Linked DNA regions of Drosophila melanogaster. The protein of the gene in region 3 interacts with the protein of the main gene of each other region in a pairwise test. Each region holds a gene or a part of one and is shown on either strand. Other genes may lie near its edges. The genes, in order: Shrm, CG42820 and CG1598.

What was found.
Region 1: the proteins of CG1598 (region 3) and Shrm interact in a two-hybrid assay, tested with the Drosophila melanogaster proteins (one large-scale study listed by BioGRID).
Region 2: the proteins of CG1598 (region 3) and CG42820 interact in a two-hybrid assay, tested with the Drosophila melanogaster proteins (one large-scale study listed by BioGRID).

What each region holds. Positions count from the first base shown.
Region 1 is NT_033778.4:14,304,226-14,315,077, forward strand, and holds the start of Shrm (shroom), read left to right. Parts: upstream 1-3,916; 5' UTR 3,917-4,068; intron 4,069-10,808; 5' UTR 10,809-10,852. UniProt on the Drosophila melanogaster protein: Binds to Rho-kinase Rok and targets it to the apical cell cortex where it mediates apical constriction.
Region 2 is NT_033779.5:8,386,862-8,397,603, forward strand, and holds CG42820 (uncharacterized protein), read right to left. Parts: upstream 5,538-10,742; 5' UTR 5,435-5,537; coding exon 5,015-5,434; intron 4,948-5,014; coding exon 4,423-4,947; intron 4,349-4,422; coding exon 3,224-4,348; 3' UTR 3,020-3,223; downstream 1-3,019. Other genes in the region: CG13384 (uncharacterized protein), read left to right, coding at 1-517, 798-970, 1,030-1,274; CG42819 (uncharacterized protein), read right to left, coding at 1,968-2,408; Acp29AB (accessory gland protein 29AB), read right to left, coding at 5,646-6,350; lectin-29Ca, read right to left, coding at 6,699-7,409; Peritrophin-15b, read right to left, coding at 7,672-7,943, 8,011-8,020; Peritrophin-15a, read right to left, coding at 8,852-9,120, 9,192-9,201; CG13385 (uncharacterized protein), read left to right, coding at 9,879-10,742.
Region 3 is NT_033778.4:7,537,732-7,547,221, forward strand, and holds CG1598 (uncharacterized protein), read right to left. Parts: upstream 1,966-9,490; 5' UTR 1,860-1,965; coding exon 1,747-1,859; intron 1,684-1,746; coding exon 1,566-1,683; intron 1,482-1,565; coding exon 1,041-1,481; intron 982-1,040; coding exon 643-981; 3' UTR 501-642; downstream 1-500. Other genes in the region: Gpo2 (glycerophosphate oxidase 2), read left to right, coding at 1-452. UniProt on the Drosophila melanogaster protein: ATPase required for the post-translational delivery of tail-anchored (TA) proteins to the endoplasmic reticulum. Recognizes and selectively binds the transmembrane domain of TA proteins in the cytosol.

The DNA.
Region 1 (10,852 bases), 6.8 Mb from region 3:
ACCAATTGATTTCCTGATTTATTTACTGCCTATGCCCCATTTATCTACTATTTACTGTACCCATAAGATACAGATACAAATGGGTCGGCGGGAGACTGAATCTGTTTTCGATGTTTACATCATCGCCAATGGCGGAACTTCAGTGCCCCGGCCATACAAATGTCGTCCATCGTCCGCTGTCCACCGTCCGTCTTTGTTGCATTTTTTTTATTCATTTGGTTTTTCAAAAATACACACATTTGAGGAGCGAACGAAAAACGAACTGCAGCCGCATCTTTATCTAAAAATTGAATTGAAATGTGTGTCATAATACCTTTGGCATGCCGGCCAGTTGCTTGACATTAAAAATGCCATGCCTCCCCTCAAATTTCCCCCCTTCGACCAGTGAAAAAAACCACATATGGCTGAATGCAAATTTGCTGCCATATGGAGCAGAAAAGCCGATGACGTCGTCATCGTCTCACCGAAATTGAAATGCAACTCACATTTGGAGCCCGCTCCTAGCAAAACACTTTGTGTCTCTCATTTTTTTTTATGTTTTTTTTTTTTATTTTCGCAAAAGGGCCCTGGTGTTCGAAGGTTTCTGATTCCCACGTTAAATGGGTCTCCAGTGGCGGTATCGGCACATCGAGATCTGGGTCCCCGTTGCCGATGAGGGTGTGTTCCACACACGTTTCGCACACCTGAATGCTTAAACAGATCGGACCTGGCCACGGAATTGGAATCGGAGCGGAGTCCGGATAAGCGATAACCTTCGGCTGATTTCGGGGCTTTTCCTATGGAAAGTCGAGCCGGTCTATGGCTACGGATTTGGTAACAGCCGCCGGACAATAGACCGAATTTGGTCGGAAAGGGGAAAGAGCCGATTGATTGATAGTCTCGGCACATTCCAAGCTTCCCTTTGAAGGCACTGCAAGAAATTATGACTCTCTTTGTTATCAGCAATTAGTTATGGTTAATAACCAACCATGTAAAGTTACTAACAACAAATTCTAATTAGAAAAATTACGTTTTGCACTTCCTCTCATTCTATAGTTTAAAAATTTGATTCATGTTTTTTAATTTTTTTATTTAAATGAAAATACAGAAATTTTCAGAAAGCCATGACTGCTCAAATCCGAAAAAAGTTATATTTACCAATGAGTTGGTTAAATAATTTAAACAGGAATGTCTGCATTACTCATCGGTGTTATCTACTTTACTAATATTTAATGCCAAACCGCGACTTTTTAACGTGTACACCCCCATCCCCATAAACGTGTTTCGCCCCCTCTCTCTCGCACTTCACCAGTTTGTAACGCTCTTGTGTCTTTTGCAAAGCAAATGCGATTGGATCAACAAGCCCAAAGCGATGATTAATTGGGAATGACGACTGGAGGTGCGAGCCGCGGATTGGGAATACGGATTGGTAGTGGGAATGGGGAGGTGTTATACCATGCCATTGCAGATGGGTCAGATCCCAGTGAAGATCGTCTAAAATCGTTCAATGAACCAAACGGAAATAGAAGAACAGATAGATGAAGATCTATGATATGTCTGGAAACATAAACATCGTGGTTAGACTATAGCCATTGATTGGGCTTTGTTCTGGCTTCGGGATTCTGGCGAAGTGATATTTGCATGTTTGGGCCAACCTTTCGCTTGTACCGTTAAATCTGCGCTCTTAGCGCGGCCATAAACAATAAATTAGCCAAAAGCAGAAACAAAATGCCTCATTAGCACCTGGTTTGCGTGCGATATGCGAGAGCTTTCGATTTAACGGTTCGGTCATGCCCGATAAACTGATTGAGGCCCAATTCGATTTGGCCTAAAGGGGTTCAAGTTCGAATTTAATTAGATTCATTCCTTAGAGCACAGCCTATTATAAGTCGAAGTCTTACTTCCTATTACAATATAATTGAATTACTTCCTAGTTCTTAGAGTTTTAAATTAGTTTTTCTTGCTTTGTTTTTTTATATCCAAATATAGGTAGAATTGTATCAGTTTCTAAACCATATTCTAACCATATATGCATAAGTGTGTATATATAATTATCACTCTACTACAATCTTAATTATAGGGTTGTATATTTTAAAGAAAAATACATTTCAAAACATTTTTCCAAGAACCTTTACTTTGAACTCAACCGAAAGGTACGAACCATTAAAGATTTTTTGCTAGTTTTACTCACAATCTATCAAATCAGTTTATTGAGTCGAGAAAGATTTATTATACAATAAAAATGGGATGTAAGGAATCGATTTATAAAAACATCATATATGTCATTCTATCAATCAAACTTTTGAGACTTTTGGCCAAAAATATGTTTTAATTTATTTATTAATTTATTGTTTTTGAATGATAGCTTTAACCTTTTTTGGGCACATGCTAAAATTCAGAAAACAAAAATATTTTTTCACTGATTGTGATCAATTTGAAGAATATAGTATGAATATGAAATGGACAATGTGAAACTGTGACCATAAAATTAGGTATTTCAATCCTCACAAATATTACTACTTACTTCTGTTAAAACGTTTCATATTGATGTTGCACGAATTACGAAAGGTAATAAATATTCCTGTTAGCTGCAAGCCAAAACGTGCAGTTTTCAAAGAAACATATCGCATTGTTCTAAGATCTTTTTTTGGTAAGGAGTTCAAGTTCGAAACCCCGACTTCGTTGGTGGTCTTGGGTCTCCTGCTACGTCTTCTGATTCTCCTGAGAGCACACACACTTAATTAAAAATAAAAATCAACTTGCGCTGAAAATGAAAAGTGCAAACAGAACATAAATCAACTTTGAGTGAATCAGAATAAGAATCAGAATCAGATTCGAAATCGGAGTCCTCAAGAACTCAGTTTTGAAAGACTGGACCCAACGGCCTTGCTTATCAGCCGTTTTCCCTTGCTTTCCTCATTCGTTGGCTCTTTTAGACGCACGATCTTCTTATTCCCTTTTTCAGCTTTTTCGGGTTCAGTTTTTTTTTTGTTTTTGGCTAAGTTGCCATTTTGCCGTTTGCGGCAACAGGTTCTTGGCTCGCTTCTTGGCCCCTCTTTCTCTCGCGCTCTCTTTGTCCGTCCCTTCCCCCTCCCATTGATATGGATGAGTACTGGACAGCGGCAACAGGTTCTGAGCGAAAAGAGCCGACTCTCTCTCTCTCGCTTTTACCCTCTCCCACTGAGATAAGTGACTTTCAATACGAAATACAAACATACCTGTTTGCTTCGGCTTTACTTGATAAGAGGCTCTAACCCCCATTATTTAGCACTAAATTTACCACTGGGTCTTGGACCCATCTCTCTCTCACACGCACACACATGCACACGCTACACTTGCAGGTAGAGCTACAACAACAACAGCTTAGTGGTGTCTCAAGATAAAGATACTCTCTCTTCGGCTCTCTGGTGGACTGATTTCCAGCTGGCCGCTAACGTGGCCTAACTGAAAAATGCAAGGTATGATCGACTGGTTACAAATAACGTAACAAACCGAAAAAATGATCATGTGACACCAAAATATAATATCCTTAAATAAATAAAAAAACATTGCCTACTTTCTGGCGAATTTCTCTGTGTGCTCCACAAAAATTAATAAATTTTGCAGAAATCATCATCATTATATTAGCACCTGTTAGCTTAAAGAACTTAAAAAATATGGATTTTGTTAATGTTTTAAATTATATTTCTTTTCCCAAATTCTTCAATAAATGTTGGAACTTTAAATTATTAACCATAAGGCATCGGTTATTCCGCGAAATTCTTCCAGCACATTGTGTAAATCTAAAACACACATTACAATACAGGGTACTAGGATAGTCGTGTACTTGGAGTGAGCCAGTAGTAGTCTGCGGCTTTTTCGCAATCGCAGAGAGAGAGAGCCGGAGGGAGAACGGGCACGAGCCCGATTGGGATTGGAATTGCTTGATCGCGAGTTTCAGTCTTCTTTTGGCTCTCGCACCGTGCAGTTCGTGAGGAAAAGCGGAAAACCCAAGGAAACCCAGAGCGTTGCATGCCCCGCGATTCGGGGCTCGTGTCCGTGTACTGTGTACCTGTGTGCCCGCGTGCTCGTGTGTGTGTGTGCTAGCTTGTGAGTTAACAAAAAATGAAGCAACCGAAAATGCACAAAAAATTAAATGCAGTTTCTACTCAATGAAAATGCTGTGAATAAGTTTAATCAGCTCTCAAGCTCGTGTAAAAAGCAAGGGAGAAAAAACAAACAACAACAACAATTAGTGACCAAAAGCACGAAACGGCACAAAAAACGACAAAAACAAAAGGTGTCGTGTAAAAATGCGACCGAAAAATTACAAAATTCAGCAAACATAAACAAAATAAAAAAACCCGTGTACAAAGATCAACCTTCAAGGCTAGAAGAATTCTTCCGCCTTAAAAACAGAGCTTTGTGTTGCCTTTTAGCGGGTGGCAAGAAGTTTTTGATTCTCCCTCTTCTTTATCTTCATCGTATTCTTCTGCGTCTTCTCATTTTTTTTTTCGTGGCTGCTTCAACAAGTTTTCCCCCCAACAGCAGGGATTTTCCAACCAGTTTTTGGCGCTTGCCATTTTCCGCGCTTCAAAACTTCTGCCCCTTCTTCTGCTTCTTTTTTCTTCCTTTTGCGAGTGAGAAAGAGTTGGGAAGAAAGAGCGTCAGAGAGAGACGGGAATATAGACAAGGTGGAGCTCAAGAGCAGCTGCACATTTGGCATGGGTCAGTTTAAAAGACGAAACCATACTGATCTCGTTTGCATTTCTACACTTATAACCATAAAACCTGGCTTACAAAAATCCCCCAACCTCCCCCATTAAAAAATAGGTGTGGGGCATGTCGGTACATGTTTTGGATTATTTTCGACGGGTGCCACCAGTGAGAAAACACATTTGCGGTAAGAAACGAAATTCATTCAGCAAATGTATCTTTGAATAAGTGGTTCGTGTGACGACCAAAGCAATTACATAAGCTAGTGCAACGAAAAGATTCAGACAACTCGAAATTGAAGGTGTTTTCTTCTAGAATTGATTAAGGAGTGTTAGAACGCGGAACAAAAGAAGGTTGAAAAAACACTAATGCAATTGAAAAGCTGATAAGGCAGGTAGAGTCAACTAAAGACAAATGGAAACAATTAGGTTAGTGATATAGAAAATGAACAAAGGTGCAAGTAATAGAGGTGAAGTGGGATGCTAAGGAAGCTCATAGATGCGAGCTTAATACGTTTATATTGAATAAAGATAAGCCACACGTTTTATAACTGACTTCGGTTGTTAGACTACCGTTTAATCGACCAACTAACATGATACAACGTATTCAATGTAATTCAAATGCAGAGTTTGGCCTGAATTGGCCCAAACAATAACTGAGAGGCAGAGGCCCCAAGACAGTGGAAAATTTGCATAGACCACCACAAAGCTAGGAGAAAACAAATTCTCGAGTGCTAAAGAAATCCAATTCAGATTCTGCCAGAGATAACGGATGATAAAGAGCGGGAGGGGGCAGTAATAATAATTCAAATCCCCATCGCCCAGGTGACAGTTCTGCACTGCAATCCAGGGAAAGTGGGCGTTAATCGTTGACTCGGTGGGAATGGGCGGGTCCCATTCTGGGGGGAAGGAACTCGGAGCAGGCGTAGGGTTTCCATGTCGTTTCCATGTGACGACTTATCAACTGTCCCGACGGCAGGAGAGACGGGCTGGGGGGATCGCTTAGCATCAACATCAAATACTACTCAAGAATTTCAAAGCAAACTTGTTTGCTCAACTTGCCAGCGATTTGTGGGAGGAATGGGGGGTTTGCTACACAGAAAGAAAGTCAATGTAATTAAGTAATTTCGCTGGAAAATTGATCGATTTATTATTAGAAAACAATAAATAGAATAGCCGCTGGTGTTAATAACTTTTCTTTAATCATCGAAATGCCTTCTAAAAACTTAAGGGCCGCACCAAACGCACTCAGATTTTTTTGCCGTGTAGCCAGGAAGGTAGGTAGGTGGATCTGGTGGTAAAGGTGGAGGTGGAGCAAAGACCGAGTTCAATACACTCGGCGGCATTCAGTGACGAACATTTGGCTTTTGGGTGTTTTGAACTCATTTCGAAATGCGTAAAATTTGTTTTGTCTTTGCGTCTTTTATGTGATTGCCGTTGGAAGATTGATTAAATTATAGAGATGTGTTGTCGAGCGCCAATTGGTTTGTTGCCGATGATCTATTTAATTAGGAAGGCAAACAAAAACATCCGTGGAATGCGCTGCGAGGCGACCTTGCCATATTTGACGACTGGCTTTTCTATCTGCTTTCCACTCCCAGCCAACTTGAATTGTCGTCGTCGTCGTCGTCAACTTCATTGGCAACTCGTTTCGTTTCTGCCTCATATTTTTCACCCAGTTGCCTCTTTGGGTGTAGAGTTTTATCTTATCGGTCGCTGTTACCGGCTTGGCAGGCTAAGACTAATTATAATCTTATCTGTCACAACTAAGTAGTGCAAACATCAGTGGAACTGTAACCGAAACAGAGACGACCCCGTGGAAACATCTACAGCTGCGAATTTGGGCTGAGATCTGTTTCGCTGGAGCTGTAAATTCCTCACATAGTAAGCTGAAATTTCGGGAAAACAACATGCAGAGTGTTTTCCCAAATTTCGCAAAAATGTATGTGTGTTTGTGACCGCCTTGCCAGCTAAGCAAATAAACAGTGGCAATGATATAGGGGCGAACACCATCGCCAGAGGAATTCAACGTGTCCGAAAAATAACTTCCCAAGAAATTGCCATTTCATCACTATTTGAGATAGAATGGTATGTATGTGAGGTGGATTTGCGAGAGGTAAAAGCCACAAAAGTTGTTTACGAAGCGATCAAACTTTCTAAGACTGCAGGAATGCTTAAGGTGAATTTCATAAGCCTTCCCGAGATATTCTTAAACTAATACTTGTATTTGCTTTGAAAACTATACGGAAATACATAAGCTACTGCTGGCAAATCATTGGGGCTTACTGCCCAGTTTTATTGCACACATAATTTACAGATCTTATGTAGGTAGATTCAATACAAGCAAGCTAACAATGGATAATTCTAAGGAATATTCTGGTAATGAAAATACAGTCCGTTTTTCTTACTTTCCTGGGGTTTCCGAGTTTTTACAAATTAGTACTGGCATTGCAAAGAGTGCGAGGAATTCGCTAAGCAAATATTTGTGCTCCATACCACTTGTACGTGTGTATTTGTATCTGCCATATCCATACAACAGATACTTTCCACCTTGGGCCAGCATCTTATTGTTGTTGTGGAAATGATAAGCGAAACGAACGACCTTGTTTTTGAAGCCAACGACCTTCGCAATTTACCAAACCAATTACAACTTCAACGGGCAAACGAGAGAGATGTAGCATCCTGCTGCGAGATTGTGATCTGGGATCGAGGATGTGGACTCTGGGATTTGAAAGCCGAAAGGCGAAAGCGGAGATCCGACGGAAGTAAGGTGGAACAATTGACGGGATCGCGGGATCTGCTTAGGTAGTTTTTTTTTTTGGTTGACAGGATCATAAACAAATGCCGCTGCCGAGCCTGAAGAATGAGTTTCAAATCTGCGCCTTCCCTCTCTTTCACTTGGCCTCCTGCTGGCTCTTTCACTCTACATGGGGCATTTTCGCGCGGGTTTCTCGAGCTGTGGCTGTGGGTGTATTCATTTGCAACTACCAAGAAGCGCGGCTTGGGAATATCTTTTTCCCATTTCGTTTTCCATCTTTTTTGTTATTTGCTGCAAGCCAAGCGCGGCGGAGCACTAAAGAAAGCGTTGAACTTGCAGCAGGTTGCAATTGCCCATGTTGCCAGGCCCTTTTTTGCGGAAATCCAGCGAACGAATTGCATTTAATTGTAAATTTATGCGTCTGCTTCCGCCCCCCGACCCCATCCCCATCCCCATTCCCATCCCGCACCTTCTATAATTTTCTTTTGCTGTGCACTTGTGTAGTGTGAATGCCTCGCGATCTTCACCTTTGTGTGAATGTTTCTGCAGCAGGTGGTTGTGTGAGAATTGACAAAATTATAATGAGTCGACAATGTTGAGAATGCACACAGAGAAAAAAAATTAATTGAAATATATATATACTAAAGTAAATAAACAAGAATTTTGCAAGTTTTGCATATATGAATTCCCAATAGTTTTCACATCGTTATACTTTAAATTCCCTAAATTTAGTTGCTAATATGCAACATATTGCGATTCTATATTCTTGGGTGGATTTTTCCAAGTGTGCCGCTTGAAGCCACCAAACCAAACACCTCCGCCCAGGTACATAATCATAACACATAACCGAGCAGGTAACAGTTGCCATTCATCTTTGCGCTGCTTTGTTACGCTTGTTAGTGGCTGACACTATGGTGCGGAGTACAACTTGGATTTACGACGACCTTTCGGGCCGCTTTGCATGCCGCTGGCTATGGCTAACAGGCATCAGGTATCCGGGCATCTCAATCTCGGATCAGTCCTCCTAGGAATGCGACCGACCACCTATGCAGCGGGTAATATTCGGCAGATACATTTAAGCTGATAGGCAAACAGTTGGCTAGCTGAAGTGGAAACAGGGGTCACAGTTCACGAAGAGAACCGAAGGTTGCCAAAACAATATCTCTGTGATTTATTGTCCTTTCAAGTGATGCTCGTTGCGGAGATTAAGATATCAGCAGTCAAATAGGAAGTTGTTGAAACCGTTGAGAATGCTATGTTTTCTTTGAGCATTGTATCTTCTGGATCGGCGGAACTTTATTGCTAATAGAGATCAATGCGTTTCGCTTTGGCGGGGTTTTAGCCATTTGTTGTGACCTCGCCATCGATTGGCTGGCTGGCCACTGAAACCCGTTCTGGGGACTCGAACTGGGAGCTGCTAACTGGAATTGGAACTGGGAGCTGGGCATTGGAACTGACTGGGAACCGACCGACTAGCACTTGGTATTGCTATTGGCTATTTGGTATTGGGACTGCAATCGTGTGCTGGGGTGTGTGTGCTCATTTCGCTGGCGCCACTCCGATTTTGCATGTTTTCCGCATTATTTGTTGTGTTTTTTTTTGTCATTTTGCATTTTGACGTGGAATTTTTGTGGCCAGCAAAAGTGTCTAATTTCGCTGGCTGAAAAATCGAAAAAGCCGAATGGCCGTATATATAGCCACTTCAACGGCAATCACGCAGTTGTCGGCAAGAGTTTCAGAGCCGAATGACCAACTGAAAATCAAAAAATTCTACCCACGGCCATAATTAACAAATTGGCGATTAGTTGGAAAGCGTTCGCAGTGGAAAGTTGATGGACCAGGGGGCATGAAAGTGCATTTAGCAATGTCATTGCACTTTTGAAGCGGCTGCAAGCAGATTTATCTACCAGGTACTTTGCCCCCATCCCGAAAACAGGCTTCCTCTTTGAAGGCTTCTCGCTTGGGCCTAGGTCTTCTGACTTTGCACTGCGAGAAATTTGATTAATGATGTCTAGCATCAATCAGTATTAATATAAAAGTATGTTTCTAGTTAGAAATCGTTACTATATATTTTTTAAAGTTCTGATTCCTAGTGTACTTAACTTACTGGTTAAGAATACATAGAAGTATTCTTAACATGAAAGGATTATCTTCCGGCCAGTGTAGCTCAGTGTTCGTTTTGTGTCTGGGTTTGTCAACAGCCTGGCAGAATCCAGTTTTCAGAGTCTAGGAGTCGCTTGGCAGTCCCAAGTAGGAGCACTTCTCGATACCGATACCAATGGCGATGGCGACGACGATGCCTGCCGATGCTGAGACTGAAGCCTCTGCAGTTCCAATTCCAGTTCCAGTTCTATGGACCCCGGCGCAGCAGCAGGAGCTCATAATTATGCATTAAACACTCGAAGTTTACGGGCGAGAAGTGGCAGCTGCAACTGCGGCTTTAATGGACATCAATTTGCATGGAAAGCATACAGAAAACGATGACATTTGAAAGAGCCAAATGCGTGGGCCGTTTGCTATATGCTATAGGCTATATGTTAAATGTGGCTATATGCTGTCCGACCGAATCGAAATGAAACGAAACGAAATGCAGTCGCCAAATCGCATTTGAAAATGCACAACAAAAACTTGTTTATTGGCTTAGGCCCCTTGGCGTCGCCTCACTGCATATTGGTATCGACTCGTCTCGTCTCGTCTCGTCTCGACTTGACTTGACTCTTCTCGCGTCTCGTGGGTCAATGTTATGTAAACCTGGTTCACTTTTCGTTTTCATATATATATTTCTTCTGCTTTTTTTTTTACTCGTGTTTTACCGCACACATAATACACTCAACTTATTACACAAAAACCCAAATAACTCAACAAATATTTACGGACGCAGTCAACAGAAATCGATTCAATTTTCCCTCCAACCACCGCGGACACGCTACTCCCGTCTCTTTCGGCCGCCATATGCCCGTCTCTTTCGGTCGGCGTCTATGTGGATTCGTCTTACTGGTTTGGCTGCACTGCATTCCAAAGATGCGAGTTGTGCGGACCGGACCCGATAACAGATATAAAAGTGCAAAGCAGCCACATCCAACGAACCAAGAGTCCAGCCGCCACGGAAAAATGTCGCCAGACCAAATTAAAATAATTTAACACATATAATTTCGTGTATTTTTCGCTTACATCATAACTCTTGTCGAAAAGGTGGCCGAAAAATGAGATTGAAATGAAAATCGGGCAGCTCTAATCGCACAATCACATCAGCAAAAAAGAAGGGGGAGAAAAAGACTCAAAAATAATTCCTGGACTTGTTGCAAAACAAATGCCAAGCGCTTGACTAAAACTAACTAAAAAATTGCTTAAAATAACGTTTTGCATAACATATTTAGATAAAGACAGAATTTGAAAAATAAGTAGCTCAAAAACAAGAATA
Region 2 (10,742 bases), on a different chromosome or scaffold from region 3:
TCTTGTTTATCACGCAAATCGGTTTCTGCTGCGTCTACTTCCTCTTTGTGGCGTTGAATATCAAGGACGTTATGGATCACTACTACAAGATGCCTGTGCAGATTTACCTGCTTATAATGCTTGGACCCATGATCCTGTTGAATCTGGTGCGGAATCTGAAGTATTTGACACCCGTTTCGCTGGTTGCCGCCCTGCTCACAGTTGCCGGACTGGCCATTACATTCTCGTACATGCTGGTGGATCTGCCGGATGTGCACACGGTCAAGCCGGTGGCCACTTGGGCGACGTTGCCTCTATATTTTGGAACCGCCATCTACGCGTTCGAGGGAATTGGTGTTGTCCTGCCCTTGGAGAACAATATGCGCACACCCGAGGACTTTGGCGGCACCACAGGTGTCCTCAACACGGGCATGGTGATCGTGGCCTGCTTGTACACAGCTGTCGGGTTCTTCGGCTACCTGAAGTACGGCGAACACGTGGAGGGCAGCATTACCCTAAATCTGCCGCAGGGCGACACGTAAGTCCTTAAACTTTCCATTGCTAATCGGTTTTAGTTGTAAGACAGAGGGATTTAATATTTCTCATGCTGATATACATAATCTACATGCTCTTGCTATTTGAAAAGCGCTATTCGAAATATTGATAGTTCAGATAGTTAAGATCGTTATTAACTTTACTGTCTAAATAATTTTAAATTACATGATAATAAAGCTAGCAAAAGGTGTTATAACAATTTTTAATGATATTCCCAGACTGCAATACTAATATTTTAATTGTCTTCCTCTTTACATATTTAGACTTTCCCAGTTGGTGCGGATTTCAATGGCGGTGGCCATCTTCCTCTCGTATACGCTTCAGTTTTATGTGCCTGTGAACATCGTGGAGCCCTTTGTGCGAAGTCATTTCGATACAACGAGGGCCAAGGATTTGTCAGCAACTGTGCTGCGAGTTGTTCTGGTCACTTTTACCTGTACGCATAGATAGTCAATATTTAAAATGTTCCAATTATCATCGTATTTTATTTCACAGTCCTGCTGGCCACCTGCATTCCCAATCTAGGCTCCATTATCTCGCTGGTAGGAGCCGTCAGCAGCTCAGCTTTGGCCCTAATTGCACCACCCATAATTGAAGTTATTACATTTTACAACGTTGGCTATGGACGCTTCAATTGGATGCTATGGAAGGACGTTTTAATCCTGATCTTTGGACTCTGTGGCTTTGTGTTTGGCACCTGGGCCAGCTTAGCTCAAATCCTGAACGACAGAACCCACTGAGTTTAATCGAAATAAGCGAATCGAAAACAGAACCTGGCTAGTTCTGCCTACAAATGTGTGCGAATTTATGACGAAGGCTTTATGTAGTTACACTCAGACTACGAATATGTTTACCATTAGTTGTTTACCATTTCCCAACTGGTATCGGTCCAGTCCAGTGGCGGTGCTTTAGTGTGATTAATTTATATTTATGGCAAATTAGTTGCATTTTTTTTTGTTGTTATCAGCCAGCTGCAATCGTACCAGACAATAACTAGCATTTTAAGTAGAAAGTTTTTCAACATTTGTTCAGTTTGTCAGTTGGAGATTATTTCTGTGTTAACTCGATGACCGCACAATGCCAAACGTGATTTTACGTAGTATTCTTAACTAAATTATTATTTAGCTTTTACTATGTAGTCTAGGTCGGGGCAGATCATTCCAAAGCAACTGCTAAGAATTTCCCAAAAACCGAAATTAGCTAATGTTATCTGCATACTTTTATCGTTCGATTATTTGTAATTATACAACTATAAATACATATATATGTATACCCCTAGCCGTACTGGTCCCGAAATGGGACCTTCGATAAAGTTTTGTAAATACATCAATTCGGTGTATCAACAAATGTTCTTTAATAGTTCAATCGGTAACAAAGACAATAATTAATATAATGTTTATAAAAATCAGTACAATTGATGTTATTTAGTATTCCTACCACAGGGCTTGAATGGTCACTGGGAATGGGATTCCATTGGAATTAGCCACTCTCAATGGACTCGATGAGAGCAGAATCAGTCCTTGAGCTCGTGGACCGTTCCTAATCTGCTTGGTCAGGCGAGCGGGTGCCTGCTGGACAGGCTGAACTTCCTCTGCATCCGGATCGGGTGTAAAGTCTTGCGGCTCCTCATCGCTGGGTAGCTGCTCAACTGCATCGGTAGGCGGTGGGCCGTAGGTCAGATCCGGTGGTCCATATGTCTGATCCGGAACTCCTTCCTCGAATGGCACCTCCGGCTTCAGTTCGTCGGCGGATGGATAGGGTGCTGCCTGCTGTTTCTGAAGTTGCTTTGCCAGCCGTGCTGGCTGAGCTGAAACCGCTCCAAGTGCCAGGACCAGAACCAGCAAGGAACAGGATGACTTCACGTAGCTGCGCATATTGGCTTTGACGCAAGAGATACACGAACTTATGAGGGAACCGTTGTTGATTGATTGATAACTTTGCTGTTCATTACCTGTCTTTTTATATGTTTTTCGGGTACTACGTGGATGGATTAATCAATTTTTGGTGGTAAAACGTGGTCGTTTGGTTAATGACTGGGTCATCCAGTGGCCCTTGTGGTCATTTGGAGTTGTCGTCAATGTCACGTTGCAGGTGCCCAAAACGGGAAATCAATCAGCCCATTAATTTCAGTGTCAATGTTAGCCAGAATAATTTTTTTTATGAGTTATGGAAAATTATAATAAATACACATTGCATAAATATGTTTTAATACATTATTAAAAGTTGTTATATGCATATCACTAATTTTCATGCAATGGGCTCTTAAAATTCCCAAGTTCTTTTTCCGCATGGAGTGCTTATAAAGCGCGACAAGTGTGTGGTCCAAACGTGTTGTTTGGAAGGAGAGCAAGTTAGCACTCCCCTAGACAAGGATGGAACACATAAACGGTCGGCTAGGCACAGACAAAAGCCGTCCACAAATTTTTTTAAATCTTATGATAGCTTAATGCCAAATATCCCTTAATAAAATAGAAAAAACACATCAAACATATACATTTCTATATTCAGAAGCTCTACTTGTCAAATGGTAAAAATAGTCAGAGGTATAAAAACATATCAATTTAGTCTTGAACTTATCACTACGCACTAGAGATTCAAATAATTGAATGTCAGTCAGTCATGACCACTACATCGGGTATTGTAAAATCTTGTTCTTACAAAAAATCCTGATTTAGGAGCTAAGGTGTGCTTAGCCATTTTTACGAGCTAAGTAGTAGCTGAAGGTGGGATCTATACTCCTGACAGAACTGGGCAGATAAGTAAAAAAGGTACGACGAATCCTGGAACTGTTGACAAAGCGCAGGCTGTGCTGCGCCTGCCAGCAGAGACGGGATTGCTTCAGGACGATCTGAAGGACTTCATCGCGAAATGACTTCTTAAATTTGTTGGATTTTTCCATAATTTCCTTGTGCAGTGCATATGGAATGGGATTTTGTTTTACGATCAGCGGATCTATATTAGTTAGCAGCGGAATCAATTTCTTTTCCATCTCCGACAATTTAGCCATATTGTGTCTGTAGCTTTCGAAATCCGCATGGCTTTGTGGACCATATCGCTTACCATATCTCCTACAAATCCATTCCCGTACTTCCGGAATTTGATGGCCATTGTGGAGGCTGGCCAGCACCAGTTTGCTGTCGCGACGCAAGATTTCAAAGCCATCGCTTAGCATTTGGTCCATGAACTTGTCATCATCGGGATCGATTCGCTCGCGATTGTAGACGAGGCGTTCGATGGAATCCTTGGGTGTCGGCGTAGTCGGCACCGCCAGCAAACTCTTCTCAAAGATTTTTCTCACACATCGGGACACGGCTTCGTTGATGTGACTTCTCCTTATCGGCCCCGATGCAAGGACTCCTTGTCGATGCTCATTTTTTTGGCCACCGAGTGCTTCCATTAAGGACTTCTTAACGACATCATTTGTGTCCAAAGACTGCTTGCTGTTCCTTTTGAAAACGTGTGGATAGTTGAAGGCGAAGGGCTTGTGGTCTCCGGGTGACGTGAAATATTCAGGTATGGCAATAGAATCCTCCTCCTCCTCCTGCTCCTCCTCCGCCAATACATCTGGTTCGCCATCCTCACCAGCGCAGAGTCGCATCAGCGCACCACTCCTGTCGTACAGACGTCCCCATTCACCTTCGAGGAGTAGCACCTGGGGAGGAGTGTCCAAGCTTACGTGCACCAATTCGTTGCAAGCAACACAACCGGCTTTCCGGAAAGCAGGCACACCAGGACTCCAGCCCTTGTCACCAAACTTTAGAAGGTACTCATCCACGTCGCGATTAATGTGATGCAAAATCCGTTCCCTTGTAAGCTTCACCAGAGAAATGAATGTCAACAATTATTCATAAATTAATTATAGATAATTTTGTTAATAGGATTACTCACTCGCTTTGCGGTCCCTTCCAAGTCAATCATATCCAAATAGCGTCGTCGCTGCTCTTGCAGGAACGCCTGTCGCTCCTGGGTTCGAGTTTCCTCATGGAACCCGCACAGATCCCTCGCTTTCTGTGCAGGATCCGTGGTAACCTCGTCTATGTGGTCGAAAAGGTGACACAGTTCGTGTTTGATAACTGCCTTAACTGTTCGCTGGATGGGATGAAACTGGAAGTCGGCATACCAACGGTCCTCATCTTCTTTGGGATCGCCCACTTCGTTAGGGATCTGAATCTTTAACAGCGGCGAATCCGACAAAAACTGATTAGACCGACGGGGAGTGGTTTTGGGACGTGGTTGCTTTTGAAAGTAGTAGCTTTTGCGCGAAGACGATGGTTTCTTTTTAGTTGTATGCGAGGAAAGAACTTTGTCCAGAGCTCGAAATGTAGCCGGTAGATCCAGTGGCATTTCTTCATCTATATTTTGTGGATAGGTCTTAGAATTCGGTATTATGATGGAAGGCCGAGCAGAGCGATTCTGAAAGAGGGCAAAAGACCAAAACTTCTTTTTAATATAATAGTTTTAACTCTAATTAGCAGCTTACATTATTAATCTGTCGATTTTTCATCTGTATCTTGGTTTGCCCACATAAAACACCGGGTAGAGGTAGCACTTTGTCTAGAGCTCGAAAAGTTGCAGGCAAATCCAGATAGGCGATGGCCGAGAGCAGAAGTTGTCCATTAACTGAGTACTTTCCGCACGAAGTGCCGGTGTCGTAGTGCTCCTGGAATAGAAAGTAGAGAAAGGCCAGTTTCTGGCCACGACTGAAACGCCAAATTCTATGGAGTTCACGATTTCTGATCAAAGGTTGCACTCCCAGGCGCAGCAGACAATCCCGAATGGACCTAATATCGAATTGCAGTGCCGTTCCCAGCTCATCGGCCGCCTGCATCTGATCGAGCGATAGACCACGATACCAACTAGCCACGGGTAGTCCCAAATCAACACCTGTATTCTTTACCATGTTCCTAGCAAGTGGATAAATTCACAAGTAAAACGAAGAACAAACAATTTAAGAAACTTGGTAAATTTTGTGGGTGTTGCAAATAGCTTGAATGAGTGAATTTGGAAATAATACTCAGTGCAGACCTGTCTACACTGTGTTCATATACAATAAAATCATTAAACGAGCTGTTTTTTTTTATTCAAGCTACAAAACAATATTTTCTTTATGTTTAGGCCCACTGGTCTGCTTGGCAAACGAAAGATTTTTTTTCAAAACACTCATCATAGGACATCTCTTTAGCATAGATGTAAACGCATTGATTCTTTTTTTTTGTATCCTGATTACTCTTCCATTTGACAAAGAAGGGTTCTCGTCCGGTTAGGGTGGAGACGAATGTGCCGCCATTTTCAACCAGTTTGGATATATCTATCCAGTAGCTATTGTTGGGTGCTAACGCCAAGATGCCATCCAGCTCCATCTCATCCTGGATGTTCGCCAGATGACCGTTCATTTTACGACATGTGACATATGCCTCAAACCAAGTTTGCATTAGATTCTTCTCGATGTGAAAATGTCTGGAGCCAACTTTCTCGAATCGTCTCATCTTGATGTTGTTAGACGCTTTGATGTTGGATGCATGGTGTCGCATTATAATCTTTAACGGCTGAAGCTGGATTTCCATCTGGGCCTTAAACTCCAGCAAGCTACTTGCTATGCGCATTTCCATTGTATCAATAATTGCCAATGTTTCGTTTTGTTTAAGCGCGTTGTATGTAAACCAATAATTCTGGTTAATACCAATCTGATCGATTGTATTTTGCGGCGTTTGTGGACTTGGCAATGTAGCCTTTCCGTTCGGAATGTCCTGCTGCCCACCACTGAGATCCCAAAGGTTCCATAATGCCAACAGGTATAAGAGGTTAGATGCGTACATGTCCAGTTTGGAAGATTTCAAGCGTGTGAGATCCAATCTGGCTAAAGAACTTCCAATGAGCTCAACTAATTTTGTCACGCTTTTTAATGATAATGTAACCGTTTTAAAGCATCACTGTGAAAAGCAAAAAGGCTGGAAAAATTAAAAAAAATGAAAATCTACTATGGTGTATTGAAAAAAAAAAATATAAAATGCCTAAAGTTAATAGCTTTATTATTAAAGACACATTGCAATTTTGATGATTTAAAAAAAATACATATTAAAGTTTAAAGGAGTTCAATTTTTAAACCTTTATTATCAAAGTCACATTTAAAGTTTAAAATAGTTCTAAAAATCAATGCTCGATATTCAGGCCCATTGCTCGGCTTGGCAAGCAAAATAGTTATCATTGGCACAATTTTCAAAGTACATTTCATTGGAATTGATATACACGCAATGGTTATGTATATTTGTGGCCAGATTTGGCTTCCATTTCAGAAATGGTACATCCCTTCCGGATAGTGTAGAAATCCAGGACGCTCCATCGTTGGCACGGCTGTTGATATCTACCCAGTACTTTTTTTTGGTTTCCTCTGAGAATATTTCATTCAGCTCCTTCTCATCGAGGATATTCGCCAGGTGACCGCCCATTTGACGACACGTGTCGTATGCGCTATCCCAGGGCATCTTCTTTTGCTTTTCTAAGTAAAAGTGCCGGGAGCCAATCTTCTTGAATACGGACATTTTGATTTTGTTGGACATTTTAACGTTTTCCATGTAGGGTTCAATTTGTTGCTTTAGAGCCCGAAGTTTAGTTTCCATCTGGTTTTGAAAGGACTGCAATCGCATTTCTAAGCGTTGCTCCATATTACCAATTCTCCACAAAGTTCCATTTTGTCTTAGCGAATTGTAGGTAAACCAGTGCTGCTGGTGCATATCAATATTCTCGATTGTATAATACGGCATTGGTGCTTTTGGCAATTCATTTGTTCCTGTGGAAGTATCCTGCTTTTTGGCACTGACGCCCCAAAAGTTCCATAAAGCGAAAATGGAGAAAATGCAAGTTGCGTACTTGTACATTTCGAGGGCTAATAGTCTGTGAGATCAATTATTTAATTCCTCCTCGGACTAACCCTTTTTTTTACACTTCCCAACGAGATAATCACCCGGAACATTAACCTTTTCAAGCATTAAATACTCTGTTAAAAATTCGATAAAGATCCGAGAAATCTAGAGATATATTCTAGACTTCATTCAAGCCCATCTTCCCAGTTAAATACCATTACAAATGAACCAAAAAAAGTTAATGAAAAACGTATAAACTGCAAGAGAAGTTTATTGCTTAAGTGGATGCTTCGGAACATGGAGGATACCACTGCCAAACGCTCCAATCGACGCAGCTTCCAGTTTTCGGATCGAATCCAGTGTTCTGCTCGCAGGCAACTAGCTCGGCCTGTCCGGTGCTAGAGCACTGCCAGTAGTGGGTTGGATCCCAGAAGTCACGGGAAATCTCTCCGGAGCGTCCCACGCAATCGGGCTCACCATTGCCATCGGGATTGCAGTCAAGGTCGGCGTAGATGGCAACGCAGAGGGTCAGGAAGAGAAGGACTAAAGCTGAAACAGAATTCCGCTATTGGCATCTCAATGGTTTCAGCGATGTGAGGTCATCAATGAAACTCACCTGCTTTCATTGTGGTTTGTTCGAGTGATTAATACCGAATGCGATTGGAACGCAACGTTCGACATTTTATAGCCACCTGCTATCTATTCCCTGACATATTGTCTGAGACAATCGGAGCTATACATTCTATTTCTTAAAGAACATGAAATCGTTTAAAAATAATCTCATGATCACGATTGGTATCTGTATCTCGACAATTCGAACATTTGACGCCGTCGTACAATTCGTTTTCAAACAAAGAAGTATATTTCACCAAGTGTTGTAGTATACTTAGTTATGATATTAAAATATTATTGAACAAAAAATTTGCATATGATTTGTTTGAATTGACCGGCTCCTATTTAGACAATTTATACCCTGTAAAACTTTACACACTGAGACACAGTGTTTTTGAAATAAACAAACAAATTTTGAAACCAAGCTCTAGTTAAAAAATAAAGTTGTTTGTAAAATTAAAGTATATTGTTTATACTTTATATGATAAAGTATAATTTACTTTTCTCTCGTTCATAAACATTTTATTGCATTAAATGCAAATTAGTAGCAATACGAGTACTGTCTAATCTTTATAGGTTTCCAAGATATCATTTGGACAAAAACATCTCAAAAATGTTATTTACAAATAATAATGAAACTCGTTAACACTCAACTGTACTCAACATCCTATAGAAAGCGACTGAGCAGAAACAAAATATTCTATATACCAATCTAGGTTGCTCTATAACATTTTCCCATATCTTCGAATACTCGCAAGAACATGAGATATTTTAAAAATCCAAACAATGTATGTAATCATTTAGTTTGCCATATATTTTCATTTTTGTTGTTATTAAAAATGCAATCAACAGTAAGCAGTCCAAGACCATTCGCTCCATGAAACGCACTCCTTCTTTGTGGGGTCGAATCCAGTGGACAACGGGCACAACACAGCCGTGGCCGTGGAGGTGGAGGACTCACACCACCAGTAGCGAGTGGGATCCCAGAAGTTGCGGATGTTCGTTTGCACGTTGGATGCGTCGCTGCAGTCGGGCTGGTTGTCAGAATTGGGATCGCACGCATTTCCGGTGCTTAGGAGCGCCACGAAGAAGGCAAGGCAGATCAAAAGTAGTGCTATGGGATCGGCAAAGGGTTGAAGTATATTTCAAATGGGGATTCCTTTTCGATTTGCTCAGCTAACTTACCGGACTTCATGGTGCAATTGAGTTCCCACTGGTTTCGTAAGTGTGCTTTAACTGGGCGAATTCGCAAGCTTATATACCCCAGACCGGCACTGATATTGGCTTTCATCAATAGCAGTTATCTCCGTTGGCGGGAAGCCTGTGCGAAATTCTATTTTGGCAGCGACATGAAATCGTTTCAAAATAATCGCACCTTGTATCGCCCACCGTATCTGTATCTGTATCTCAGCGCATTGTACGCGCCCCTAAGTTTTGTTGACGCAATAGTTTGATTATATGGATGTGTCGTAAAGGTCATGCCGCGTGCCACAATCCAAACTGGGTAGCACTCCTATCAATAAGTTAAATATAGTACAAAACTAGGACAGTAAGGTTTATAATCGAAATTTAAATTTGGGGGCTTCTATTCAAATACCTAATACTTAACCGTGGGGAACCCCACATTCTTAACGCAAACAAGTCATTAGAATTACGCATTTATATTTATATTAATATACTACCCTTAACTGTTGGTGATAGCACTACCGCACTACTAACCTGGTTTTTAATCAACCCATCCGCTATACCGTATACCATACATATCGAAATATAAAACTCCAAAATATAACATTAAATCGCAGTAGGTGTCACACAACTAATTATTTGCGATATTAATGATTACAAATTGCTCGTGATAAATCTCCCATAGCGATGGAGTCGAGGGTCACCAGCGGCACAGGTCCACCGAACACCATTATGATCCAGCTGGTGTCCCAACAGCCCAGTTCCTGTGGACAGATGCAGGCCATGCCCATTTCGGTGCAGACGATACCCTTGTTCCCCAATTCCAGAACATCGACAGAGCGACCTTGTCGATCGGTCTCCATTGCCCCGAATGTAAGACCTCCAACGGATGTCCCTCCTCCTCGAAGGAATTTAAGAATCCGACCCGAGGAATATGCGACACCCAAGCGGAAGAATTCGCAAAGCCAGTTTCGTCATTTCTCCCGCAGCATAAACCAACCTCCACCGGTGTACTATGTTCTTCGACCAGAAGACCGTATTATGCCCATCTACATACCACCTCCGAGGTTTAACAATGAGCAAGGATCAAGGATGGCGACGGAGTGTCCTTGCTGTGGCCATGCCAAGTCATTGAACCCGGAGGAACCTCTAAGAGTCCACGTAGCGCAGAAAGAGTTTGTCAAATTAGAGAAGGCAACTCCTGGACATCGGGATCAATGTACTAACACCATTGACCAGCCAGATGTGGGAAATATAAGGACGATTTACGAAACATTGGGACGCGCAATGGTCACTGCAGCCGTGGAGGCAGCCCAGAGATCCCAGCCAGCAGGACCCTCAGATCCGACAAATGTAATATTGAAACTATTAACCCAATTGGGGGAGCAGAATCAAACAACAGGCTTGAGTCCACATTCAGAAGCAGTAGCAGAAAGTCCCGACCACCAACCACATATGCGCAGGCCCAAAGCTAGCTTTACGGAAGCAGTCCGCATGATGGAGAGGACCTCGTCTGATCCTTCCATTGCTAAAGGGCCACCAGATGAGCTA
Region 3 (9,490 bases):
ACTGGTCGCGAGATCAAATTAAAAAGCAGATCCGCCAGACGCGAACTTTTCTTAACTCCCAGATGGGCCAGCTGACCAAGGAGAGCGCTTCGCAGATGAGCATTCCCATTAAGATGAGCGTGCGCCAAGTGCGCAAGTTTGCCGGGCAGTTCAGGCAAATGGATGATAACAATACGGGGTACGTGTCGATTGCAGACTGCTGCAAGGCAATGAAAACGATGGGCGTAAAGGAGGTGCCCGTCGACCTGATGCACGATGTCCTGCGGGACATTGATGTCCATGCCCAGGGCAAGGTGAACCTGTATGAGTTCCTTCTGCTCATGTCGGCTATTGTGCAGGGCAACACCGAGTACCTGCGGTACGCACGGCTGTATCTGGACCACAAAAGGCAGATGCAAGGCAGCAACTTTCCCACCGTAATGCAAATGGAGCGTGCCGGGGGCGGTCTTTGAAAGTATCATTCGTTGTAACCCTCTCCAGTTTGGAATACTGCATCCGTTAAGCGTTGTCTACGCATTACACGTCGAAGCAGATCCCTTCGGGGATCGCTGCCTCAACTTTAATTTATTTTACGCACTTTCTGTTCACACAAACTAAGGAAGAAACTTACAAACGGATGGGTAAAGGGTTGGACGGGCTATCCTATTCCTTGGGCTCGCCCTTGGGGTTGTAGGGCTTCATAAGGTTCTCGGAGAAAGAACGGATGCTCTCTGGACCGCGCACCTCTTTCTCGAGGAGCGGCAACTTGGTTACGTGGAAGTCTTCATACAGGTCGGCAATCTGGTCCAGGTACTTCTCCTGAATCTTGAAGCGGGAGGCGCACATGCTGCACGAGTCGTGCGAGTTCTGCAGAAACAGCAGTTGGTTTACAATGATGTTGTGGACGTCGATGCCGCACTTGGTTAGCTCTTGCACAAGTCGTTCCGTCTCGTACAGCGAGAAGAACTCTGCTATGCACACGCAGACGAATGTAGTTTGATCCTGCCGAAGGACGAATGCGGATTAGGCGTTGTACGAGCTAAATACATGTTTCTACGTACTGGGTTCTTGAACTGCTCGTTGACCTGGGTGATAACGCGCAGCATGTCGTCCAGCTTCTGGGAGAGTGTGTCAGCGTTCACATCAGCCATGCCCAGCATGGAGACGAACTGTGACAGCAGGGGCGCCACCTTCATCTTGAGCCGCAGCAGCTTGCCCAGCCCCTTCTCCACCACCTGGGGAAATGCAATCAGACGCAGCGTGTGTCCCGTGGGCGCCGTGTCGAAGACGACTACCGAGAAGTTCATGCCCTTGACCAGCTTCATAACCTCTGCATAGCTCATCGCCTCGTCGATGCCGGGCAGGGCGTTGATCATCTCCTGCATGACGCCCTTGCTCACGCGCAGCGCCTCATTTTCGCCATCGAAGTACTCCTCGGGCAGCTCGTTGAGACCGGCATTTGGATCGATTTCCATGGCGAACAGGTTGTCAAAGCCATTTACCTGGTTGCGGAAAAGGAATTGCGATGTGCTTTAGTTTAGCTTATACAATGGTAAATGACTTCATTTCCGGATTCTTCCACCAACCTTTGTCGGCACCTTGGTGAACTTCTGATCGAATGCATCCGATATGTTGTGCGCCGGATCTGTGGATATGATTAGCACGGATTCGCGCACTTTCGACAGCTGAACGGCTAGGCTAGAACTATGTTTAACACGAAGATTAATTAGATCAACCGAGAAAGTTGGCTTGTTGTTGTTGTTTTACCTGCAAGTCGTCTTGCCCACGCCGCCTTTTCCGCCCACGAAGATCCACTTGAGGGAGTCCTGCTCGACGAGATTCTGCAGGCTGGGCTCCAGGGGCTCCAAATTGTCGGCCATAATGCCCACTAAAGCGAGACACGTATGAAATTAGTTGAAATTAATAATTGCTTATAAGCAATGAATATGACTTCTGGCGTGCAGAGTGACCGTTTTTAGTATGCATACGTATAAGTTGATAGGCACTAAAATCAGCTGATCACGAAGCACTGCCAGGGATGGATGCTCATTTGGCGCCAAAGGAAAATTATTTGAAAATAAAATTTTGCAAATCTCAATAAACTTGACAAAAGTGAGAACAAAACTGCCAGCGGTGTGAAACTAACATAAGTTTCAACTAATTGTTGTTGTTATAACAATAGCAAAAAAATATTCTCAAATCTGTTGCTGCGTACATGCTCAAAGCTCCGCCGCTTTTATCGTGCCTATTAAATGCACAAAGCGCGCTCGCAGCCCAAGAAAATCACAATAAGTGCCGCGGATGCTTGACCCGTCCCCGTGTTCCCCGCGCCCGCTCTACCCATCACTGTTAATTGTGCAAATCGCGAGCTTATCAAAACCCAAGTGTCGGCGAGAAAATGCGAGCAGCAAGGGAGCACAAACCCAAGTGGCTATGGACTACTAAAAATAGTTGTGAAAACACCTTCGCCGTTGGGCGTCCGCGTTAAATAGCTTCGATTTTTGGTATCTTCGTGTCATTATGGGCTTCACCCCAAAACCACATCGATTTCCGTCCATTGCCGCCTAGTTTTGTCGTTTACTGAACTCGGCGTATATAGAGTTATTTCAACTTATCACAGAATACGGAAGCTGCGCTGTAAAATAATACTTATTCCAAGAGCTAGACCATTTTTGAGTGACTCTGTGGATGTTATTGTGAGTGGATTGCAAACATTGGATAAAACTTATTGAAAATAACATTTGATTTGCACTTAAATCAGATATATTTAGACGATCATTTTAACGGGGATTATTAAATTAATAAACGACAAAGGTATGTACTCAAATAAAAGAAATTGTTTGTTTTCATAAAACTGCTTCCATGCATGTATACTGATAGTGGATAAATACAGTTTTAATATAGTTTTAAAAATGTATAGTATTTAAACAAAAATTAGATGGAAGGGATATATATATATATATATATATTTAATGGGCCATTGGTTTGGACGATATTACATCAAAAAAATATACAAGATGAATGTAATATTTGAACAAAACCCTTTTTATCTTTTTTTTTGCAATTATAAATATACATATATGTATATCTAATAGTTGAGACAGTTGACTATATTTTTTTCTGTTGATTTATTTAAAAAAACTGATAACTGTGAACCTTAAAGTTAAACTTTAACACTTAATTTCTGTTCTGCGCTGTGCCCACTTGTGTGGGCCTGAATACGTAAGAAAGTTTATCATACTCCTCGATATTGAATGCGAAAAATGTTATCAAAGTTGATGAGAAAGTTTTCCTATCGCCTGTTTAAGCAGCTAAATTAAAAACAGATCAATTAACGTTAAAATCACACACGCTTGACAATTTGTTGATATTAACTTATCGCCAAGCTGAAAATATATTGTACAACCAAAAATATTTTTTTATTTTGATACAGAACGGCTTATTGAAAACCCATTTATGGCTGTTAAAAGTTGAACTGAAAAAATTGAGAACAAATCGCTTGGTGAAAAAACAAGAGTGTTTTTGCCTCATATGCGTGTAAATCCGTTTTATGCGACTGAAACGATTCAATCATTCTGGCAGTGCTTTTTAAAATAAAGCGATAAAGTTGGCTGGATGATTTATTTATTTGCCCAGCCCTGGGCTTTCGAGATCCGCTTTTTGTCTGTGCGTGCGTGCGTTTGTTGGCCCATGAAATATGAGCGCATTAAATTTTATTATATTGTTTGGGCCATTCTCGGCTTTGGTCCAAAGCACACACTCGCACTCTCGCACACACAGCCACAGGCGCAAGGACAGCAAACAAGCGGAAAGTTCAAAGTCAAACAATAACACTTTCCATAAACAAAAAACCCAGCTCCCACACACACACACACATATGAACGGCTAATTTGCTTGAAATCAGCGATGGGAACGTTTCAGTTACCGTTACCTGAGCTCCCCCACCTCCTGGCACCTATTCCCGCAACTTCCCATACTAAACTTTCAACGGGAAACTTTGACCTGTGATGGTGAAAGGGCAGGGGAAAGACATATCGCTTCGTTTATGTGTAAAAGTTTAGGAATTCAAAATTTTTAATGTGTATGTATGTAGTTTATGCGTTAATTGGTTTTGAATCTGGAAACTGATCCTTTGTCCAAGCCATGGTTTGCTGATTTTCTTAGTTAGATTTAATTTTTAATTTTTAATATTTTATCCAAACATGTAATATTACGTTTGTTTTTGATCATTTTTGTTACGGAAATTTTGTTAAAAATGCGTTTATACATAGGTGTTACTAAATCAAATATTAAGTCAAAAGACGTCGTTTTTCAATATACAAATTCTTTGAAAAGGTATGTACATATATTCCTATATAAGCGACATTAGCTATTGTCATAAAAAGCTAAATTCATTTAATGGTACTATGTTTAAAGAGGATATTTTTTTATGTTTGATGCAAATTAATTTGCATTTGCAAATTTAATTTCTGTAAAATACATTATCTTAAAAACATATCTAACCATAAAAACACTTCGCATAAACGTAGAATGTATGTTTTGGATCCGTAGAAAAACCAACATTGAAATGGGCACTCGCGCGCCGCTTTTAATAAATGTTTCTGTCTGCATTTTGTTAGGGGCTTTTTCGCCGCATTTCACCTGGCCGAGCTTAGCTTTATATTCATTGTCCTTCGAGTCCCTTGAGTCCTCCGAGTCCTTCGAGGGCTCACTTTATCAAAGCTTAGCACCTGACAATTTGCCGCGCGACATGCGGCTATCTTTCCCCTGTTCTGGAAAACTGTAATGAAAAAGTACTTTGTCTCCGCACTTCTCCATACAACTTGCGTCGCCGCCGGTGTTTTCCACTTTCCGCAGCTCGCTGTCTTTGAGCAACTAATTAAATTAAATCCGATTAGTTTGGCGTGGCAAGTGGAAAGTTTTGGAGTCCTTATGGCATTCCTCGCTGCTGCACTCTCAATATGCCGGAGCTCCAAAATGAGGATGCGAGGGAAGGACTTACTGGAGCCTTAAAATTCTTCACGGCACCTAACAAAAGGAGCGTTATGGAAACAAAGTTTTAATTAATAGGCCTTTGCCACAAAGCCTTCGATATCAAATGCACTTTTCGGCAGGTCTGGAACTTAAAAAGAACGAGACAGAGAGCGCTACGGTCGATTTCCTCGACTATCAGATACCCATTAACGTTATTTATCGACTTTTAAGACTCATTTTATTGAAAAGCTAATGCTTTTCATTTTTGCATACTTCAGCGCTATCTTTATTGAATGTATATCTCTTATTATTTAGCGCTTAACTAACTGATTAACGGGTAACTCACAGTCGCTACAAAAACATTATTTCATTTGTGGTGCAAACTACCCCCTTCAACGAAATATTCTTTCTACAATTATATATACATATGTATTATTGTGTATCATTGAACTAATTTAAACAAAAACATTCGTTTTTTTTTTGCTTAGAATAGGTTTGTCAAAGAGTTGTGTATAATATTTTTAACAATCCACAAAAAGGTACAAAATTGTAGGGCTCCCAGTTGCTTTAAGACCGAATATCTTGCTCTCTTACGCTGGTCCGTATTGTGATTAACCATTTGGGGTTTTCCAAGGGTCAACGTGTTTGCTTAGACTCAAACCTAATGGACAACCTGTGATGAAAGCTTTCATTAAACAACAGCATAGTGGGCACTCCCGGTTCAAGTGGCCTTTGGGGGGATTTGCCGTGGGAGAAGGCGCTTATTAACGCCACGCCAAACTGCCACTCATCCGAAGTGGGTTGTGGGTGGTGGGCGTTCGTCGGGTGGCATGCAACAGGCTGTCTTGCCAACGGAGTTTTCCGAGCTCCGCTGACAGCGCGTCACTCAGTTTTCCCTCGCTGAAATCCCGCTGACTCACAGCTCGCATTTCTGCATAAATTTCCACCGTACGCGACACTCCGTTGCGGAATTTCGATTAGCGACCGCTCTGGGCCGTCGCTGTTGGCCGTGACTTTGAATTGGGCCCTAACCGTCGAACAGTGCACTTCGAGGACATCCAGTTGCAGCAGACTGTCAAGGATTTGGCGGTGAGTAGGCCACGTCTTGATAAATTGAGCAAGGGTCGACAGGCGCTGAATATGATTGATCTTCTGCTGGGGATAATTAGCGCACTCGTTGATAAGTTCAAAAGTCACACAAAATTCAATTAAGGAATACGTTTTCCGGTGGTCTAAATGATATATCACCATTAGATAACTGTTTAACTGTTTCTAGGACTTTTGTAGCTTGTGGCGCCACAAGGATGCGCACACACACGATTGCAGGCGTCGCAAGTCAGTGCATTTATCTGTCTCTAAGGGCAAACATTTCAATTGCACCTGTTAACCGTTGGCTAAATTTATGACTTCCTCACTTGTTGTTGCGTTATCCTTTGTCTTTAGTTTTCGCTCAGTTGGGAGTGCGATACTATAAAGAGAGGGCGAGTGAAAGAGAGGTCTAGGCGCATCAAGGGAAATAAACACACACAAGTGCAAACGCAAGTACACCACACAGTAGCAGGAGCCAACAACATGGAATCTTAATTCGCACACAAAGCGCATTATCCGAGCAGAGGTGAACCCGCCAACCCTTCTCATCACCGCCTTGCTCACTCACCTTGGCGGATGGTGGGTGTGAGCGGAGAGTCCAAAGGAGGAGAGGGGTGCCAGCTGTCAGCCGGCAAATGGCTTTCACTTTCCTTCCACAGCCATCCAAGCGTGGTGAGTTCGGCGCTCGCTTTCTATCTCTTTACCCCGCTCTCTCTTTTGCGTTAAGAGACATTGTTTAGCAAATTAATCTTCAGTAAATAATATAACAAATGAGTTTTTTTTAATTTATCTGTTTTTATTTCACTTTCAATCTGAGGAAAGTGAAATGCACTCGTCTTCGAATATTGATCATACGCAGTGTTGAACGCGATAAAAAGACCTTTAAACCTAAAATATCGAAATTATTTTGATGACCTGGTAATAGTCTCTAATAGTGCAATGCATTAGGTATAAGGATACCTAAACTTAAATTGTTATTTAAATGCCTTTTTGCGAGGTGCACCTAGTCGTGTACGCAATTTTTTATTTATTTTTATTAAAACATTTAAATAACTGTACAAAACAATGTACAAAAGTAAACATTTTGTAGATGTTACCTCGAGTATCAAACATTACCGGCTTTATTAGTGCCTTTCTATGAAGGACTTAACCAGAACATTTGGCTTCAACTTTCAACTGTAAGTGAAAGCATTAAGCTTTTGAATAATCCACTTATCCACTGTTGCAAAAACTTCGGATGCCTCAGCTTGAAGCGCTCTCTTTCTACCGGCAAACTCACCACTGCCAAAGAGAAGGTCCTGTGGCCAAAGAGCGAGAGAGAGGCTGTTTGAGTCTGTGAAAATTGTAATTGAAATTCCAGCGTCGCCGATTCGGCGCCTGCAGTGCGTAGGCGGTTGTCGTTGACTGACGTCGTGGCCAACAGCACGTGCTAACCGAGGCGGCGCGTGCAGCAAAAAGTAGTAGCAGAAGCTGTAGTGGCCCACAACAACAGCACAACAACGGCATCAGCAGCCGAGCAGCCAGTTGAAAAGCTACACACGGAATATACAACACACAGCTCTAGTATCACAACAACTAACGCTTTGGGCTAGGCAGAGAGAAGGGAGTGGGCGAGCGGGGAGAGAGTTTAACTTGAGTGAAATTTAAAGCAGTTGAAGAAGAGGAAGCAGCAGGACAATACACCAATGCAGGCTAACTGTAAAAGTGTGTGAAAGCATAGTGAGTGAGCAAGAGGAACGGGGAAAGGGATAGAGGCTGAGAGTGAGTGAGTAGGAATGACAATGCGACAATAAATTAGCTGTAAACTGCACCTTGTTATTTGCACCTGAATCGAAAGTGGATTATATATTTTGCTATAGTATTAATAACAACAACACACAAAAGGAGGCCAGAACAACCAGCCAGCCAGTAATCAAAGTTAATTTACCAACACAAGAAACGTAAACGTGAGTTCTATTGACGCAAATAAGAAGAAGAGGAAAAGCGGGCGAATAAGTAGGCAACAGAAGAATTAGGAGCAGCAACCGGAGGAGCAGGCAGCGCGCAAACAGGATACTTAAAATATCAAGGCAAACACACACACACACAGAGACATACACAAACAGGAGTACACACGCACACGCACTTGCCCGAAGGAGGTTCATATTTTTGGCGAAAAAACACAAAACCACCGCACGAAATAAATAAAATATAAACCCAACCACGTTGAGGTGTATGGCCCAAAGGCAAGGCAAACAAACAGAGCTGAAATCGAGGAGAAGAAGCAGCGAAACATAAAGATGCCAAAATGCTGGACGGAGATTGATGCTGGCTGCCGAAGAACAGCACCCACTACAACAACCACAAGCACAGCAGCAGCAGCAGCAACAACTGCAATAACAATAATAAGGCCGAGACAAACGACAAGCGAGAACAACAGCAACAAGAGCAACAACAGCAGCGACAACCGCCAAATGTGAGCAGACAAGCGACACCAATTGAGATATGTGAGTAACGCATGCAGACACACGTCAATGTAGACAGTGGTGCCTCCCTAATTGCCACCTTTAAAGCGTTTATTTAATTAATAGATAAGGATAACGTTGATTTTATATTTTTATGTAACGGGACGAATAGTAATTGGAGATTAACTTAAAAGTCCTACAGCCTTTCAAATTACGGGGAAGTGAATGAACATTTTAAAGGGTTTTTTTATTATTCTTGTTTCTTATATGTTAGTCGTCGGACATTGAGGTATTTCATTAACAGTTTCAAATAAATAAGCACACGAATGTTTTTATATATTTTTCCATCTTGAGAAAATGGTGTGTGCGAATGAATCTTGCGATTGTGAAGACAGATCATTATACATAGAAACTTTTAAGGAAGTTTGTTTGTTTTGTTATATTTTGGGAAGAATAAGTCTTACTAATCTGAAAATGAGTTCTATTCTACTCGTAAAGTTTGTTTACTGACGCACCCCTGTACAGTGTACACTAACTGAAAATCAAGTTTGGGCGAAGAGCTTTATGCATATTTTTCCAGCATTTAAATGTGAAATGATGTGCTAGCGTATTATTTGACTTAGGCACAAAAAGTGCTAAGCTTCCAGGAGGAGCGAGAGACACAGAGCGCAAGAGACAGCGGAAGACAAAGAGAAAACAGGACGAAGAGTGAGATGAGAGAATAAATTGGTTGAACCTTAGGCAGGCGAGTTGAAGTGGAAAACAAACAGGGCAACAAGGCAGATACACACACACAGTGGCACACGGCGCACCTATGTGTGTCGCAGCCGCACGCATACACACAAGCACACACAGCCTACAGGGAATCACACTTAAGCGCCACGTTGCTCGCTACCCAAGTTGTATCAACTTGTGCTATCCCAAGAACCTCGGCCAGTCGCGCAGCATTTGAACTCAATTTGGAAGGACCAAATACCAACACACTTGCACTCACACTCACACTT